Linked DNA regions of Callithrix jacchus. The protein of the gene in region 2 interacts with the protein of the main gene of each other region in a biochemical or structural test. Links are inferred from orthologs where the notes say so. Each region holds a gene or a part of one and is shown on either strand. Other genes may lie near its edges.

What was found.
Region 1: the proteins of NUP153 (region 2) and NXF1 form a complex in vitro, tested with the Homo sapiens proteins (2 studies listed by BioGRID and IntAct). The link is inferred for Callithrix jacchus from reciprocal best matches to the Homo sapiens genes NUP153 and NXF1.
Region 3: the proteins of NUP153 (region 2) and KPNB1 form a complex in vitro, tested with the Homo sapiens proteins (4 studies listed by BioGRID and IntAct, with this or other methods). The link is inferred for Callithrix jacchus from reciprocal best matches to the Homo sapiens genes NUP153 and KPNB1.
Region 4: the proteins of NUP153 (region 2) and SENP2 form a complex in vitro, tested with the Homo sapiens proteins (2 studies listed by BioGRID). The link is inferred for Callithrix jacchus from reciprocal best matches to the Homo sapiens genes NUP153 and SENP2.

The regions. Positions count from the first base shown.
Region 1 is NC_133511.1:120,085,551-120,089,854, forward strand, and holds the start of NXF1 (nuclear RNA export factor 1), read right to left. Parts: upstream 2,830-4,304; 5' UTR 2,746-2,829; coding exon of another isoform or gene 2,718-2,745; intron 1,519-2,717; 5' UTR 1,503-1,518; coding exon 1,421-1,502; intron 1,040-1,420; coding exon 853-1,039; intron 634-852; coding exon 480-633; intron 1-479.
Region 2 is NC_133505.1:13,063,876-13,068,026, forward strand, and holds the start of NUP153 (nuclear pore complex protein Nup153), read left to right. Parts: upstream 1-1,359; 5' UTR 1,360-1,639; coding exon 1,640-1,750; exon of another isoform or gene 1,751-1,862; intron 1,863-4,151. Other genes in the region: uncharacterized protein LOC103792250, read right to left, coding at 1,057-1,359. UniProt on the Homo sapiens protein: Component of the nuclear pore complex (NPC), a complex required for the trafficking across the nuclear envelope. Functions as a scaffolding element in the nuclear phase of the NPC essential for normal nucleocytoplasmic transport of proteins and mRNAs.
Region 3 is NC_133506.1:118,627,076-118,630,639, forward strand, and holds part of KPNB1 (importin subunit beta-1), read right to left. Parts: intron 2,662-3,564; coding exon 2,514-2,661; intron 2,225-2,513; coding exon 2,153-2,224; intron 451-2,152; coding exon 306-450; intron 1-305.
Region 4 is NC_133516.1:14,564,615-14,568,178, reverse strand, and holds part of SENP2 (sentrin-specific protease 2), read right to left. Parts: intron 3,258-3,564; coding exon 3,206-3,257; intron 2,535-3,205; coding exon 2,471-2,534; intron 1,060-2,470; coding exon 838-1,059; intron 1-837. UniProt on the Homo sapiens protein: Protease that catalyzes two essential functions in the SUMO pathway.

The DNA.
Region 1 (4,304 bases), on a different chromosome or scaffold from region 2:
GTCAGGCACGGTGGTTCACGCCTATAATCCCAGCACTCTGGGAAGCCGAGGCGGGTGGATCACAAGGTCAGGAGATCGAGATCGTCCTGGTCAATGAGTTGAAATCCCGTCTCTAGTAAAAATACAAAAATTAGCTGGGCATGGTGGTGAGCGCCTGTCGTCTCAGCTACTCGGGAGGCTGAGGCAGGAGAATTGCTTGAACCCAGGAGACGGAGGTTGCAGTGAGCTGAGATCGTGCCATTGCACTCCAGTCTGGGTAACAACAGTGAAACTCCATCCAAAAAAAAAGAAGAATCACTTGAACCAGGCAGGCGGAAGCTACAGTGAGCTGAGATCACACCACTGCACTTCAGCCTGGGTGATAGAGCAGACTCCATCTCAAAAAAAAATAGTAATTTTTGTGGAATAAAACTAAACATCTCCAGGCTGACTGCAGCCTCCCATCGCTACCGCACTATCTACTTTCTCCAAGAACTCACTGTAATTTTGAACCAGTTCTTTGAGGTCCCATCCTGGCTGGTGCCAGCTCCTCCTCTCTCTGAAGGAGCTCTGTCTCTCCGCACGGTAACATGAATGCGATCTCGATCATGCCACGTATCGCCCCGACGGTTAGGCCGGGTGGTATAGGGGTTGCTGTGGGCAAGCAGAGAATAAAATGACCATAAATGCTAGGAAAGTCTTCTCAGAGACCTACCTGCACTGTTAGTGGGACTACAACTAAGATTGTTCAATCATTAAGCCACTCCTGGCATTTCTCACTCTTTCAGGTTGGAAAGGAAATAACATGGACAGTAAAAGGGCCATATAATCTCATGGGCCACTAAATTCAAACCAGACCAACTGGTCACTTACTATCGTACTCGGGGACCATCTTGGGCATCACTCATTGCCACATCTCCATCATCTTCCTCAAGGCGGGAAGACCGAATACTAGAACCACCTCTTCCAGACCTACGGTTTCCTTCACCATATTTCCACCGGAAGGGACCCCGGCCTTTCTTCCTTCTTTGAGGGAAATTAACACGTTCATCATCGTGCTCTGAAGTTAGAAACAGGAACACAAATTAGGAGTAAGTAACTGGTCCTGCTTGGCGTAGCAATCAGTTTCTAGTACTCTGCACTATGGGAAGAAATACATACTAACTACAGAGGCCATGTCCATGCAAACTCCACTGGCAGTCCAGCGGTAAGAACCCTCTCTGTGGGAGGGAAGCATCAGGGAAGTTATTGGAAAATTGTGTAGGGCTTTTGAAAAATGAAGCAGAGGCCGGGCACGGTGGCTTATGCGTATAATCCCAGTACTTTGGGAGGCCGAGGCGGGTGGATCACGAGGTCAAGAGATCGAGACTATCCTGGTCAACAAGGTGAAACCCCGTCTCTACTAAAAACACAAAAATTAGCTGGGCATGGTGGTACGCGCCTGTAGTCCCAGCCACATGGGAGGCTGAGGCAGGAGAATTGCTTGAACCCAGGAGGCGGAGGTTGCGGTGAGCCGAGATCATGCCATTGCACTCCAGTCTGGGTAACAAGAGCGAAACTCCATCTCAAAAAAAAAAAAAAACAAGAAAAAAGAAAAATGAAGCAGAAACTGGAATTAGAGAGAAGCAGAAGGTAGAAATGTGACAACCAAAAGTGTAACTGAACACAAATCAGACCTCTGATAGCCACGTGAAATCTGCCACTCAGTACTTTTTCTCCACAGTACAGATGCCAGTTACAAATATGACCAATTTAAGGATCCTCTAAAAAATTCTTCTTGTTCTCAAATTGCCACTTGGAAGTTTTGTGAGGAGCTCTTCATTTCCTTGGCCAGAAATGGCCTTTAACTCAGAAGACAGACAACTTCTAGACTCAGGATCTACTGGCAGTGCCAGGCTCAGGTGCTTAACCAGGGATCCTGGAATGCTCTCCAGGAATATGACCTTCTGACACATGCTGTGTAGGACTGGCATCTTTAAAAGGTCTCTAACTCCCAAAAGAAGTCTGCCTAATACAGATACTGTAAACAATGAATCTCAACAAATGACCCCAAGAAAAAAAGTACACAGAAGGCGCACCTAACATTCACTGAGAACTTTCTCCAGTGCCGGCCACTATGCTTCAGGCACTTGATAGAAATGATCTCATTCCCCGCACCCCTGCCCGCCTCCTCCACTCTTAAAAAACAGATACTGTTGTTATTCCGCATTAAGGAGGTGGAAAACGAGTTTTAAATTCACGGTTTCAACCTCCGCCATGCACTCCTAACTACTACAAAGGACTAACATCCAGTGTAGTGTTCAGACTAGAACATCCAGTTGAGGTGTCTCAAATATTAAGCCAAACCCAGGCCCGAGGTTTCAAGACCGACTGGACGCAGTAAAAAATAGGGCACCAGGGCAGCCCACGAGCAGGGCACTAACTCACATTAAAGGAAGAGTCAGGCCGCCAAACCGAACTGACAGGCATCAACCACCCACAAAGTTCAAAGGAATCCGGTCACCCCACCCCCAAGCCACCCGCTCCGAGCCGCAGGTCCTCCAACACCAGGATTCCAACAGGAATCCAGGAGTTCAACAACTCGGTGTCCACCTCAAGTGCTCCCGGTTCCTCCGCGCGCCGCTCCCCACGGACGCCGAGCCCCTGCGGCCTCACGTCCCGGGGGCTGAGGCCTAGGCCGGCGCCTCCCACCCGGGGGTCCCAGATAGCCGGCTCTCGACTCAAGGACCAGCACTGACCGCTGTACGACTTCCCCTCGTCCGCCATACCACAGCGAAGAGCAAGGGCGGGCTCAGGCGCGGGCCGCTACGCCACCAAACGTCCGAACCCCCAAGCGCTCAGGACCAAAGTGTCCCTACGACGGGCGCCACCGCATTTATTCGGAATAGCACGTCGCGCGCCGCTGACGTTCTAGGCTGTGGGCGGTGCCACTGCTGTAGAAAGCGCGGCCACTGCGCGTGCGCACACTGAAGCCCGTCGTGTGAGGGGCGGGGCCCGACCCTCCACGCCCCGCCCAAGGCCTGAGCTTGCGGAATTCCGGCTGGCTGCCAGCAGCTCCTGGCACCTTTTCATTTGTCCGCTGACGCTGCCCTGGGCACCTCCAGAGTTAGTGCTGGAACAGAGTGCTGCAACTGCAGCCCAGAGTTCAGAGCGGGGAAGGGGACCGCACGAAGGGCTTCCGAGGTGGAAGTGATGCGCCTCCAGGTGGAAGTGATGGCTTAGACCCCCACCGGAATCCAGCCAGTTTCAGCTCGGCTCCTTGTCTATGCCTCGCTTTCTTTGCCTATAAGATGGATTAATAATCACGAAGTTGAGAATTAGAATGTAAGCTTCATGGGAGCAGGAACCTTGACTAATTAATAGCTTTCTTCCTCGAGGGCTTGATTCGGTACCATGCCTGGCACATAGTAGAAATTCAACATGTATTTGTGAAATAAATGAATTTCTGTTCTTTGCATTCCCCACCCGCCCCGCCGCGAGTTGCTGAGTCAAATGAGACGGCATCTATCAGGGCTTTGCCGAGCATTGACATTATAGACCTTCCATCAATGACGTTCCCTACTAGAAACCCATCGTGTCAATAAGGCCGACAGTGAAGCTCACCAGCAGTGGCAGACAACTTGCTGGAGATGCCAAGGAGAACATTTTAAAGTATCAGGGCCTTGGGATCTCCTAGACCCCCAGAAGCACCAGCCCCTGATTGTTGTCTCTATAGCTTGAACTTCCTTTGGAATATGTGAGGCAGGGGCACTCGAGTAGCCTCAGAATGTGGTTAAGTCTTGGTCAGGAAGAACAAAGCACACCTGGATGGTGGGTATTCTGGGCAGGTGTCTTCTCCAGTCTCTGTGATTGGCTTTGATTTGGTGAGGGGCTTGGAGGGAACCAAAAGCCTCAGCTGGAGTTGGGAACAAATCCTCCACCTTCCACTCCTGGCAGCAGGCAGAGCTTCTACCTTGCTTAGCTTAAGGAAGATATCAAACAGGTCCAAACACTGCTTGAGATGGTCCTGGAAGTTGCCACCAATCAAGGACCCCCTCTGGGATCCTGCTCCCCTGTGTGAAAGGAAGTTTCTATGCTAATGAAGTGTTGCAACACTTGGTTCTGCCCTGCCTGGAGGCAGCTGTGTGTCAGAGCCCAATATAGCCTGTCAGCAGTAATACCCTGCAGAGCCATTAGCCCAACCCTTTCAGTTCTGGTACTGGGCAGTGGGCTCATTCCACTCACTGCCTAGGCCCTTCGACGCTCCCACCCAGAAATGATGACATAGCTAGTAAGGATGACAGTCTTGCTGTAATTGGGAGAAAACGGGCTGCAGCACATTTGGC
Region 2 (4,151 bases):
GAGATAGCACTAATGCACTCCAACCCGGGCTACAGAGCAAGACTCTGTCTCTCTCTCTCTCTCAAAAAAAAAGATTTATAGTACGGCTAAAATTTTTCACAACAGATTTTTTCCTGCCTAATCATTTGGCTATTTGTCTTTAACTCTTACAGAAAAGTTGGGTCATAGTCTTGGTTTTGATTACCCATCTCAGTGTCATTGATTGTGCCACCTAAATTTTTCTGGACCTCTTGTTGGTTGAATGAGAGGGTTGGATTATGTGATCACCAGGACCTTTCTAATCGTCATCTCCTAGAATATACATTTTGTGGATTCAGTCTTTAAGTCTAGCCCACTTACTCGGTTTCCTAAATATAATGCCTTCTATTTGGAGCAAATATGGTATACTTTTATTACTAAGAATATATCACTTACTCCTAATGTGAGCTGACTGCATAGGTTATAATTGTAATCATTCATTGCATTTCTCGTCTATTTGCAAATATACGTGCTCTCCATAGATAATCACGTCTGCTCCTCACAACAGCTTTATAAGGTGGATTTTAAAGCTCCCATTTTACGGAGGAGGAAGCTAAGGCTCACACAGTTTTGATTCATCCAAGGTCAAATAAATAGAGTGGCGGAACCAGAATTCCAGCCCCGTGTGTCTGGCAACAAAGCCTTTATGTTTAAAAAAACATTAATGAAGCCGTATATATTTTCTGATTCTAAGGATCATGGACATCGTTTTTCAACCATAGATTTTTTTCCCCCTTTCTTAAATCATTAGCTCTTGTCTTTGATTTTACTATTTGCTTACTTCCTGCCCACTTAACCAACCGACAGGGAAGAGAGTAGGAAGAGGTTACTGTTTTTATGTTAAGTGCCTTTTCAGAGTCTAATTTACAGCCAAGAACAGCAAAAGAACCCCTTGGCTTTGTGCCTCTGCGGCGCTCTGGAGACCTTTTCCCTCGTCCCTCTTCCTTTCCGAGAAGCCGCGTTCCGTCGTTGAACTACGTTTCCCAGCGTGCCGCGCGGCCGAGAGCGTAGGCTCGACCAGTCCTTCCTCTTTGCCTATCAGCTCGTCGCAGCGTGATGATGCAAATGCGTCGGGCGCTGATGAGTGACGACATTCTGGTTCGCGACCGCAGCAGCCGCTTTAGCGGCGGTAATAGGCGCAACGGCGGCGGCGGCTGCAGAGACGACGACGACGGCGGGGCGGGCGCTGAGCGCACAGGGGAGGGGTAGGCGGGCGGCGCCAGCGGCTTCAACTGCGGCAGCTACGGCTAGGGCGACGGAAGAACCCCACCAGCCGGCGGTCGAGTTAGGCCTCAGCAGCGCCGGGAGCTGTTCGCGCTGTCCTCTGCGGGAGATCTCCATAGAGACCGTGACATACAGAGAGGCGGGGGTCCGCAGAGGCGGCCGGACCGGAGCCAGCTCCTTGGCCTCTGCGGCCGCCACCCCCTTCCCGGCTGCCAGCACTCACCCTCTCTCCGCTCCTGCTCTCAACCTCGCGGTTCCTGGGGTGCCTGTGCCCACTGTGTGGACAGCGCGGGCGGACTTTGGGCCGGGGCCGGGCGGGGGGGCGCTCTAAGGCCTCCGCCTCTGCCTCTCCCGCCCCCTTACCCGCCCCGGAGCGGGAAGCGGCGGAGGCTCCGCCATGGCCTCAGGAGCCGGAGGAGTCGGAGGGGGCGGTGGCGGCAAGATCCGGATGCGGCGTTGCCATCAGGGGCCAATTAAGCCTTACCAGCAGGGGCGACAACAGCACCAGGTATGGGACCTGACGACGTGGTGGTCTGGCGGGTCGGGAACTCGGCTGGAGGGGACAGGCGGTTCGAGGCCCCGGCGCCCCACGTGGAGCAGACAGGAGGGCCTGAGGAAAGGCCCGAGTGAGGCTCCGGGGGAGCTCAAGCCATTGGGGGTGGTGACGGGAAGTGGGCTGAAACAGGCCCAGCTTTGCGGCGCACACGTGTGGTTCGGGCCGCCTTTTCCCCAACCCTCTGGGCCAGGGGCTTTCCCAGGCAGGCTCTGGGCGGGAAAAGAAATTGTAGGCCTAGGGTGCCGGTGCGCGCGTTTCTTTCTTTTTTGGCGGGGATTGGGAGTTTGAGGGTATTACGTCCTTTCGAGAGAGAAAGGAAAAGATGTGATTGACGGCCCTTATGCTTACTGTTTTCTAGTCTCTCCTTCAGTGTGGGGAGGAGGGTAACCCCGAAGAATCTTAACTCTGGGGCAGACAGGGAGTTGTTGGGGGCGCTGTTATATGGAAAGTGGAATAACTTAATCTCAGCCTATGAATTAATTCTCGGTTTCCCCTGCCCGTGTCCCTCGTTTTGAGAACATTGGCTTATATTTTCGTAACCGGGTTATAGTTAACCGTGGCACTGGGGCATTTTGAAAGTCCCTCTCCACCCTTACGTCTTTTCTCTGCTGCGCGACTCCCCCCCCCCCTTATTTTGGAGGCTGGAATTGGCCATTCTCCACAGTTGACCGGGACTCCCGCTCTGATCTCATACACAAAATATGTTAATATTATGGGGCGTATTTTAGAAGTTTAGTTACTTTCGACACTCCAGGAATGTTGATGATCTTATAGTTTAGCCACTGTATGGACTCTTGGATGTTTAAAATATAAAAAAAGATGATCCTAATTGTAAATGGGATCGTTGATTCCGAGAAAATTCCATTTTTAAAATACTGCTTATTAGAAGGATTAAGGAAATGTTACAACACCTACTTTAATAAAGCCACTTAAAAAACTTACCAATGATACAAGGTGGGAAGTGTGTCTTAACAAAAATGTAGCAAAAGGATCTGATAACTTGTTGCCTGCTGTTAAAGGTAGACTTCCTAGATTACTTTATTCTGGATGCTAATGAAGATTGCACACTTTCACATGTTCGATGTTGTTAAATTGTGTCATTATCAACAGATTTTTAAAAGTAAAGATTTGAGGGATTTTTAAAATTTCCTTTTCTATTTTGAGGGAAATGTCTGAGTAGTAAAAATTGTGGTTCCGGTATTTTAAGTCGTTCTCTACTGATGGTTAGAAGGTTTGGCATTGTTATTACTCCCACCAGTTTTTCCCCAGATACGTATGTAAAGTGCTTGGTTTTCAAATTTCTGAAGCACGGGGGTATTTGCAAGCAGATTTAAGATTATAATTCAGTTCACAAGCCTGGCCATTTAACCTAATCCTTCTGTAGAATGAAAGTTAGACGTGCATGCTTTCTTTTCTCTTATGAAGGTCTTTGAGTGCTTAGATTTTCTTGTATGACATACAGAAAAATGGCATGTTTTAAATATAGGCCATTGGGTCTGGGTAGACGTTAGCAAGGAATTAATATTTGCCAGATGCTGAAGTTAATCATGGCTTATTTTTAAATGCACTTAGATAAAATACAAGTGTAATTTTGGGGAGACGATGCCTTGGCAGCATAACACCTATGATCCACGTTGTCTTAGAGTTGATATGACTTCAGACTGTTTAGTTTTGTTTTAAATCCTGATAATTTATCATTGCCTCCTGTCTGAAATACTTTTGCCTCTTGCTTCTGGCTATTAAAAAAGAAAACATATTTTAGCTTTTGAATTGGGAATTAAAGGTATTTAGGGGTTTCTTGGTCAACACTGTAGGTGCTATTTAATATTGGCAGAAACTACCACTACCCAAGGAAATTATTCAGGTGTATTCAAAAGAATACTCTCCTTTTTATTATTATTATCATTTAAAAAATAAGGACTTCCTTAGTCCTTACTGGGACTTCGGTGGACCTAGGGTCGTTAGTCCTTACTGGGACTTTGGTGGACCTGCTTGCTGTCAGCTATCCTAGACTGTCAACTGGATGTTTTGCAGCAGCTGCTGAGTCATCATGAAGCTCCTTGCATGTTTGATACTAATGTTATTTGATTAAGCGTCCAAGGGTTTCTGGGCAAAAATGAAGCTTTTGGTAGTATAACAGAAAGTTGAAGTAAGAATGAGAGGTCTGGCGCTGTTAGTTAATGGATGTTTGCCAATGCTTGTCAGGCCAACTTGCTAGTGCAGTCTTCACCCAGTACCTGTGACTTCTGCATATGTTCATTTGACTTGCAATTTCCTGTTTTGACTTCTGGGTTTAGCTCTCCTGGGAAAAGCTGTAAATTTACCACTTTCCCTCTTTAACTTCTGATTTTTT
Region 3 (3,564 bases), on a different chromosome or scaffold from region 2:
TGAGGCAGAAGCATCACTTGACTCAGGAGTTTGAGACCAGCATGGGCAACACGGCGAAACCCCGTCTCTACCAAAAATATAAAAAATTAGCCAGGCATGGTGGTGTGCATCTGTAGTCTTAGCTACTGGTGTGTCGGGGGTGGGGGTGGGGGCTCAGGTGGAAGAATCACTTGATCCCAGGATGTGGAAGCTGCAGTGTGCCAAGATCATGATACGGCACTCCAGCCTGGGTGACAATTATTTAAGGCCACTGAAATGCCTGCATTCTAAAGACATTCCCTGACCAGACAGTATTTTTCACTGACCTTCCACCAGTGTGCTAACTGCCATCAGGGCATCCTCTTGTACTCCCCCAGAGCCAGCTGTGCTTTGGAACATCCTTAACAGGGAGGCCATGACCACATCAGAGATCTGCAATGCATCTTGATGTTGCACTTTCCGAAGAACATTCTGTGAAATGAGTAAGAGTTCAAGATCAGTTGATTCCCAATCTCCCAATCAGAACAGTATACCTTCTTTTTAAAAATCAATTAAGTCCTTTGACTTTCTTTTGTGAATGCCAAATGTACTTTTTATACTAAAAAACTCTGATAATACCAATCATTAACAATACTTTTTTTTTTTTTTTTTTTTTTTGAGATGCAGTTTAACTCGTCGCCCAGGCTGGAGTGCAATGGCGCAATCTCGACTCACCGCAACCTCAGCCTCCCGGGTTCAAGCAATTCTCCTGCCTCAGCCTCCCAAGTAGCTGGGATCACAGGCGCACACCACCACACCTGGCTGATTTTTTGTATTTTAATAGAGACAAAGTTTCCCCATGTTGGTCAGGCTGGTCTCGAACTCCCAATCTGAGCTGATCCGCCCACCTCAGCCTCCCAAAGTGCTGGGATTACAGGTATGAGCCACTGCACCCAGCCCTCTCCCTACTTTTTTGTTTTTAAGACAGAGTCTCACTCTGTTGCCCAGGCTGGAGTATAGTGGTGTTATCTTGGCTCACTGCAACCTCCGCCTCCCGGGTTCAAGCAATTCTTGTGCCTCAGTCTCCCAGTAGCTCGGATTACAGGCACACAACACACTGTGTCAAGCTAATTTTTGTATTTTTAGTAGAGACAGGGTTTTACCATGTTGGCCAGGCTGATCTCAAACTCTTGACCTCAGATATCTACCCACCTTGGCCTCCCAAAATGCTAGGATTACAGGGGTGAGCCACTGTGCCCAGCCAGCAATACATTTTAACATTCCCCAGTTTCTGAATTTCTCAATTCAGAACCAATGTGAGCTGATCCTCCATTGTGCAGAAGGTCATGTCTGCATTTTATTTGCCTTAGTGTCTGACAAATCCATGCTGGTAGCCTCCATAGTCTAGTCTTACTAGATAGTTAAATTACTTGAGCTTTAAAAAAGCCCTGTTACCTTAGAGCTCTTTTTAATAAAACAAACAAAAAGCAACCCTTCCTATATCCTACCCATTTACAGATGGTCTAGAAATAATCTTGATAAAAATCAAACCAACTTGACTTCTCTCAATTCAATATACATTCATCAAACATTCCTTCTTCTTGTTTCAATTAATGTCACTGACAATAGGTCAAACAGCAAATGTTTCAAAAGATGATGGTACAAACTCAAGGCTTTATTTTTAGTCAAGTGAACTATAGCTGGGAACCAAATATGACTGAGCTAGGCTCGAATAACTTAATTAAAAACCAAGAGTTCTTTTGGTTTTCAAAATCAAAAAACCAAAACCATTCAAGCTGTCAACACAAACCAGCTATACAGCTGGGAGGAACCATCAAACATCAAGTAGTTTACTTCTCTACACTGAGACATTAGTTGAAACAAACAAGAGTGAGGAAGGGAGGTTTGATGAGTGTACACTGAGTTGGGAGAAGTCAAGTTGATTTGAGTTTATCAAGATTATATCTAGACCATCTATAAATAAAGTAGGATTTGAATCTTTCTAGACAGTGAGGAAAGGCCGGTGGGAAATTCCTCTCCCAATTCATCAATCACAGACCAAAGTCTTCTGAGAACAGCTTCTGATCAGCATCATCGATACCATTTTTGAGTTCTGTGTATACATGAACTTGTCATACTGAGATATTAATTATCTTTCCTGGAGTTACTAAGAAATGATATAGCACCATAATACCTGAAGAGTTGCGCAGAGTAAAGACTGAAGGTCATTGAACTGGATTCTATCGGATGTGCTCTGGATATGTGACTACAAGGAAAAGAAGAAAACATACTCTACGTAACCATTCAATAATCTTCCCTAATGCCAACACAGGAAAGTAAACAACAACAACAAACCCACAATATATATAACACATGTCTGAGTAAACCATGACAAGCAATGCTAACGTTAAGGTGTAATTTTTTTTAAATAAACTTCATATCCTTCTGAGAAAATATATAAACACCAAAAAGACAGAACAGTCTGGAAAATAGACCTAGGTGTCCAAAGTACTGCCCTATTCCCACCCATAGTCAGGGGCCTTCTTAGGTCTCACCTCCATCTGAAGCACCTGCTGCAGTCGCTCCATGATGACCAAAGTCGTTTTCTGGACAGCAGGGTAACAATCCTTGGCACTGTTTTTCACAATTTCCATCAGAGATTCATATGCAGAACTCCTCAGGTTGTTCTGGTGTCCATCGGGTCTGTAAAGAACACAGCGAAAATCTTAAAGGCTCAACTGAGGGGAAAGGACAGAGAATAATACAGAGAATATAGACACTGTCTTGCCAGAAATAAGAACTCAGAAACTGGTATGACTGCAGACATGGTTTGAGTTTGGAAACACAATATCTAATAACCAAATCTTCAAGTCCTTTGAGCCAACAGTTATGTTCATTATGGTCTCCAGACAGCTAAAATTTAGAACGGTCCTTTAGGAAATGAGCTAAAATTACAGAGGGAAAAATGGTTTGAAATGGTAAAGAACCATGTTAACAATTTAACAGGTTGTCTGAATAGCTATGAAGAAAATACCCCAATTTTCTTGGGTACAGGTGACTCACACCTGTAATCCCAGAACTTAGGAGGCCGAGGTGGGCAGATCACCTGAGGTGTCAGGAGTTTGTGACCAGCCTGGCCAACATGGTGAAACCTCATCTCTACTGAAAGTATAAAAATTAGCCAGGCACATTGGTGGGCACCTGTAGTCCCAGCTATGTGGGAGGCTGAGGTATGAGAATCACTCGAACCTGGGAGGTTGCAGTTAGCCAAGATCACACCATTGCACTCCAGCCTCGGTGACAGGAGCGTGACTCTGTCTCAAAAACTAAAGGAAAAAAAAAAACATTTTGTGCTCAGCTCCCTTCCTGAAGGTTTACTTTGTTCATGACTTTAGGTATAGCTGACATAAAGCATGAATCATTAAAGGTTGTCTCCAACTTATAATCCCCTTTAAACAACATTTCAAAAGCTTGTTTATAAGTCAACTGTATTCACCCCAAGTTCTTGATCCCATATAAAAATATGGTAGTTGTCGGGGAAATTAGCTGGCTATGGTGGTGTGTGCCTGTAATCCCAGCTACTCAGGAGGCTGACACGGAAGAATT
Region 4 (3,564 bases), on a different chromosome or scaffold from region 2:
CTGCCTGACCAACATAGTGAAACCCCATCTCTACTAAAAATAAAAAATTAGCTGGGCATGGTGGTGGGCGCTTGTAGTCCCAGATACTCAGAGGCTGAGGCAGGAGACTTGCTTGAACCCAGGAGGCAGAGGTTGCAGTGAGCCAGGATCGTGCCATTGCACTCCAGCATGGGCAACAACAGCGAAACTCTGTCTCAAAAAAAAAAAAAAAAAAAAAAAATTATTTTCCTCTAAATATTTTTACCACTGCTTCCTCCCACTGCACAGTTTCACTGTTTTATGGATCTCTCTCTCCACCTGCATGCCCAATATAATAGTAAGTATTCAAGAGAGATTCACCTACTAGATTCCTACTGTAGAGGAAGCCAAGATGTGGGTGCATCTTTAAAATAAGAATTTTAACTACCTTCATTCTTTATGTTCTGTAAATTTTTACAATTTTCAGATGCAATAATCAACAAAAGGGACATCTTAGTAAACTATAATCACTTTTTAAAAAATGCAGTGGACTTATTCCTAATTCCAAACCTATGCTATATAACTCACTCAACATATTTGAAGGTTAGAATCTACAAAGAATTTGTTGAATTCCAAGATATGTGATGACTGTGTCGACTCACATTTGCTGAATATCAGTTTGATCCCTTAGGTCACTAACGATCATGCCTCACTAATGATCAGTGTAGCCAAAGTGCATAAATAGATCATGGGCCTGATTTGTTTTCATATATTCATCCTTAGCCTGGAGAAAGTCCTCAAAACAAAACATTCAAGTTTAGAAGTACTGAGGTTATTTAAAGACATGCCTCTTTTTAGGATCAATACAAAGAACAATACCTCTGTAAGTTCAAGGAGATCATCTGTTCTTCTGTCCCTCTCTTTGCCTGAGCAATTCTTTTCCTTTGTCTCAATTATTGACACTTTCCTCCTGAGTAAGCCATTGCTTCCACTGCCCAGGCGGAGTCGGGCTGACACTTCTTCTGATAGGTCAGGCTCCAGCTGGTATCCCCTCCTCTGATCAAAAAAGCATCTACATTCTACTGACATGTTTGATACTTGCTAATATAAACATAGATAACACATGAAATATAAAACTGTCAGTAATATGAAAGAAAAGAGAATTAGCAAATCCCCCAAATGAGTAGATTTATCATATCTGCCTGTCCCTGCAAGGGGAAACAAAAAAACTCCAGACCTAAGATTCACAGGATACCTCAGTTACAAACCATGAAACAGAACACTCGCCACATTCCCTGGAAGGAGCAAAAAAAGTATTTTCAGTTCTCCTATCACAATTAAAAATAGTATGTTTAAAAGATTATTATGAAAGTTTTAAATAGCAAAAAATATGACCCACAATCCCACCACTCAGAACAAATACCTATCTTTATGCTAACTAAACTTGGTTCTAGCTTATCCTTGTAAAAAGTCATTTTATATTATAGAAAATGCACAAAACATTAATGTACCACTTAATTCATTTTTGTAAAATGAACACCTATATAACCACCATTGTGGTTATATAAACAAATAGAATTCTGCCAGCACCCTAAAGCATTATCAGAGATGTATGATTTTTAAGAAATTCTCCATAAAAAGCCATAAAATGTAGGTAAAGTGTTGGTATGGAGATAGGTTCATCTTTCATAAACAAAGGTGGCTACTGTACAGAGGCAAAACTCCAACAACTCAGAAAGAAGAAAAAGGTTGTATATTTTCAATACTTGCCTTTTTTTTTTTAAAGAGACAGAGTCTCGTTCTGTCACTCAAGCTGGAGTGCAGTGGTGTGATCACAGCTCACTGCAGCCTTGACCTCCTGGGCTCAAGCAATCCTCCTGTCTTAGCTTCCCAGGTAGCTGAGACTACAGATGTGTCACCATGCCTGGCTAATTTTTAAATTTTTTGTGGAGACAGTCTCACTATGTTGCCCAGGCTGGTCTCAAACTCCTGGGCTCAAGATCCTCCTGCCTTGGCCTCCCAAAGTTCTGGGATTACAGGCATGAGCCACTGTGCCTGGCTGGCTTGCTGCTTTCTTAAAGAAAACAACAGAAGTAACAATCTAAGTAATATATATATAATTTTTCTTCTTTTTCATTGGTACCAAAACATAAGTTATGTAAGTAAATGGGTATCAAAATTTTTTTTTTTCTTGAGACGGAGTTTCACTCTTGTTGCCCAGGCTGGAGTGCAATGGCAGATTCTCGGCTCACTGCAACCTCCACCTCCTGGGTTCAAGCGATTCTCCTGCCTCAGCCTCCCGAGTAGCTGGAATTACAGGCATGTGCCACAGGCATGCCTGGATAATTTTTTTATTTTTAGTAGAGACAGGGTTTCTACATGTTGGTCAGGCTGGTCTCAAACTCCCGACCTCAGATAATGTCCCGCTTTGGACTCCCAAAGTGTTGGGATTACAGGAGTGAGCCATGCACCTGGCCTATGGATATTAGATTTAACTAGGATTTTTACTTACACTTTCATTTTCAAATCTGAGTCCAACCATCTTTTCTGTATCAGAAATTTTCCCCTTTGTACACCTAAGGAAAATAATTGAGAGATGATAGATTTCTGCTAGATGACTCAAACCTAGCACATCCTAGTTTTAGAAATAAGATTTCATAATCTGCAAATAAAAATTGCCTTTTTATATAATATTCTAAATCAAGAGCCAACAAACTTTTCTGAAAAAGCACAGACAGTATTTTAGGCTTTGCAGGTTTTATGGTCTTGGGCATATCGTGGCAACTCTACCACTGTAATTTAAAAGCAGCCATAGACAGTATGTAAATGAATGTGCACACTTCAACAGAAACGTACTATACAAAAATAGGCAAGCAGACCAGATTTGGCCTATAGGCCATAATTTACAAACTCTGCCATAAACCATCATCCAAAAATCCTAAGGTATGCTGAACTGCCTTTATTGTTCTTATCCTAAAGACACAGACCTCTAGATATCTCCACTAGACCCACACTCCTATCTAAGAATCATGCGATTCTCCCAACCCTGATGCCTGGGAGATAAAGGGCACCCCCCAACCCACCAAGGTAGCGTGGACATCTGACCCAAGAGCTAGCTACCTATCTACTCATATATGCTGACCAACTACCAGAAATGAAAAGAGTTCACAATTCCAAAGAACCACTTACTCACAAATACAGCTGATAAAGAAAATATATATTAAAGTGTAGAATGAACTGAATGTACCTCTTTTCACTTCTCAATGAACACAGAGGTCCCCTTGTTTCAACAAGTCTATCTGTGAGGATGGTAAAGAAAAGATTAAATATTTCCTTCATTAGTGAATAATATAGTTAGAATTTCAGCTTACTGAGTTTCCACAATATCAAGGCAATTCTTCAACAATGAAATGCTACAGTGAATTCCAAAGATACTAGACTCCCTATAAACTAAGTTGCCTAAAAAAATGCCTATATCTCTTTGCTCTTTTTTTTTTTTTTGGAGATGGAGTTTCGCTGTTGTTACCCAGGCTGGAGTGCAATGGCACAATCTCGGCTCACCACAACCTCTGCCTTCTGGGTTCAAGCAATTCTGCCTCAGCCTCC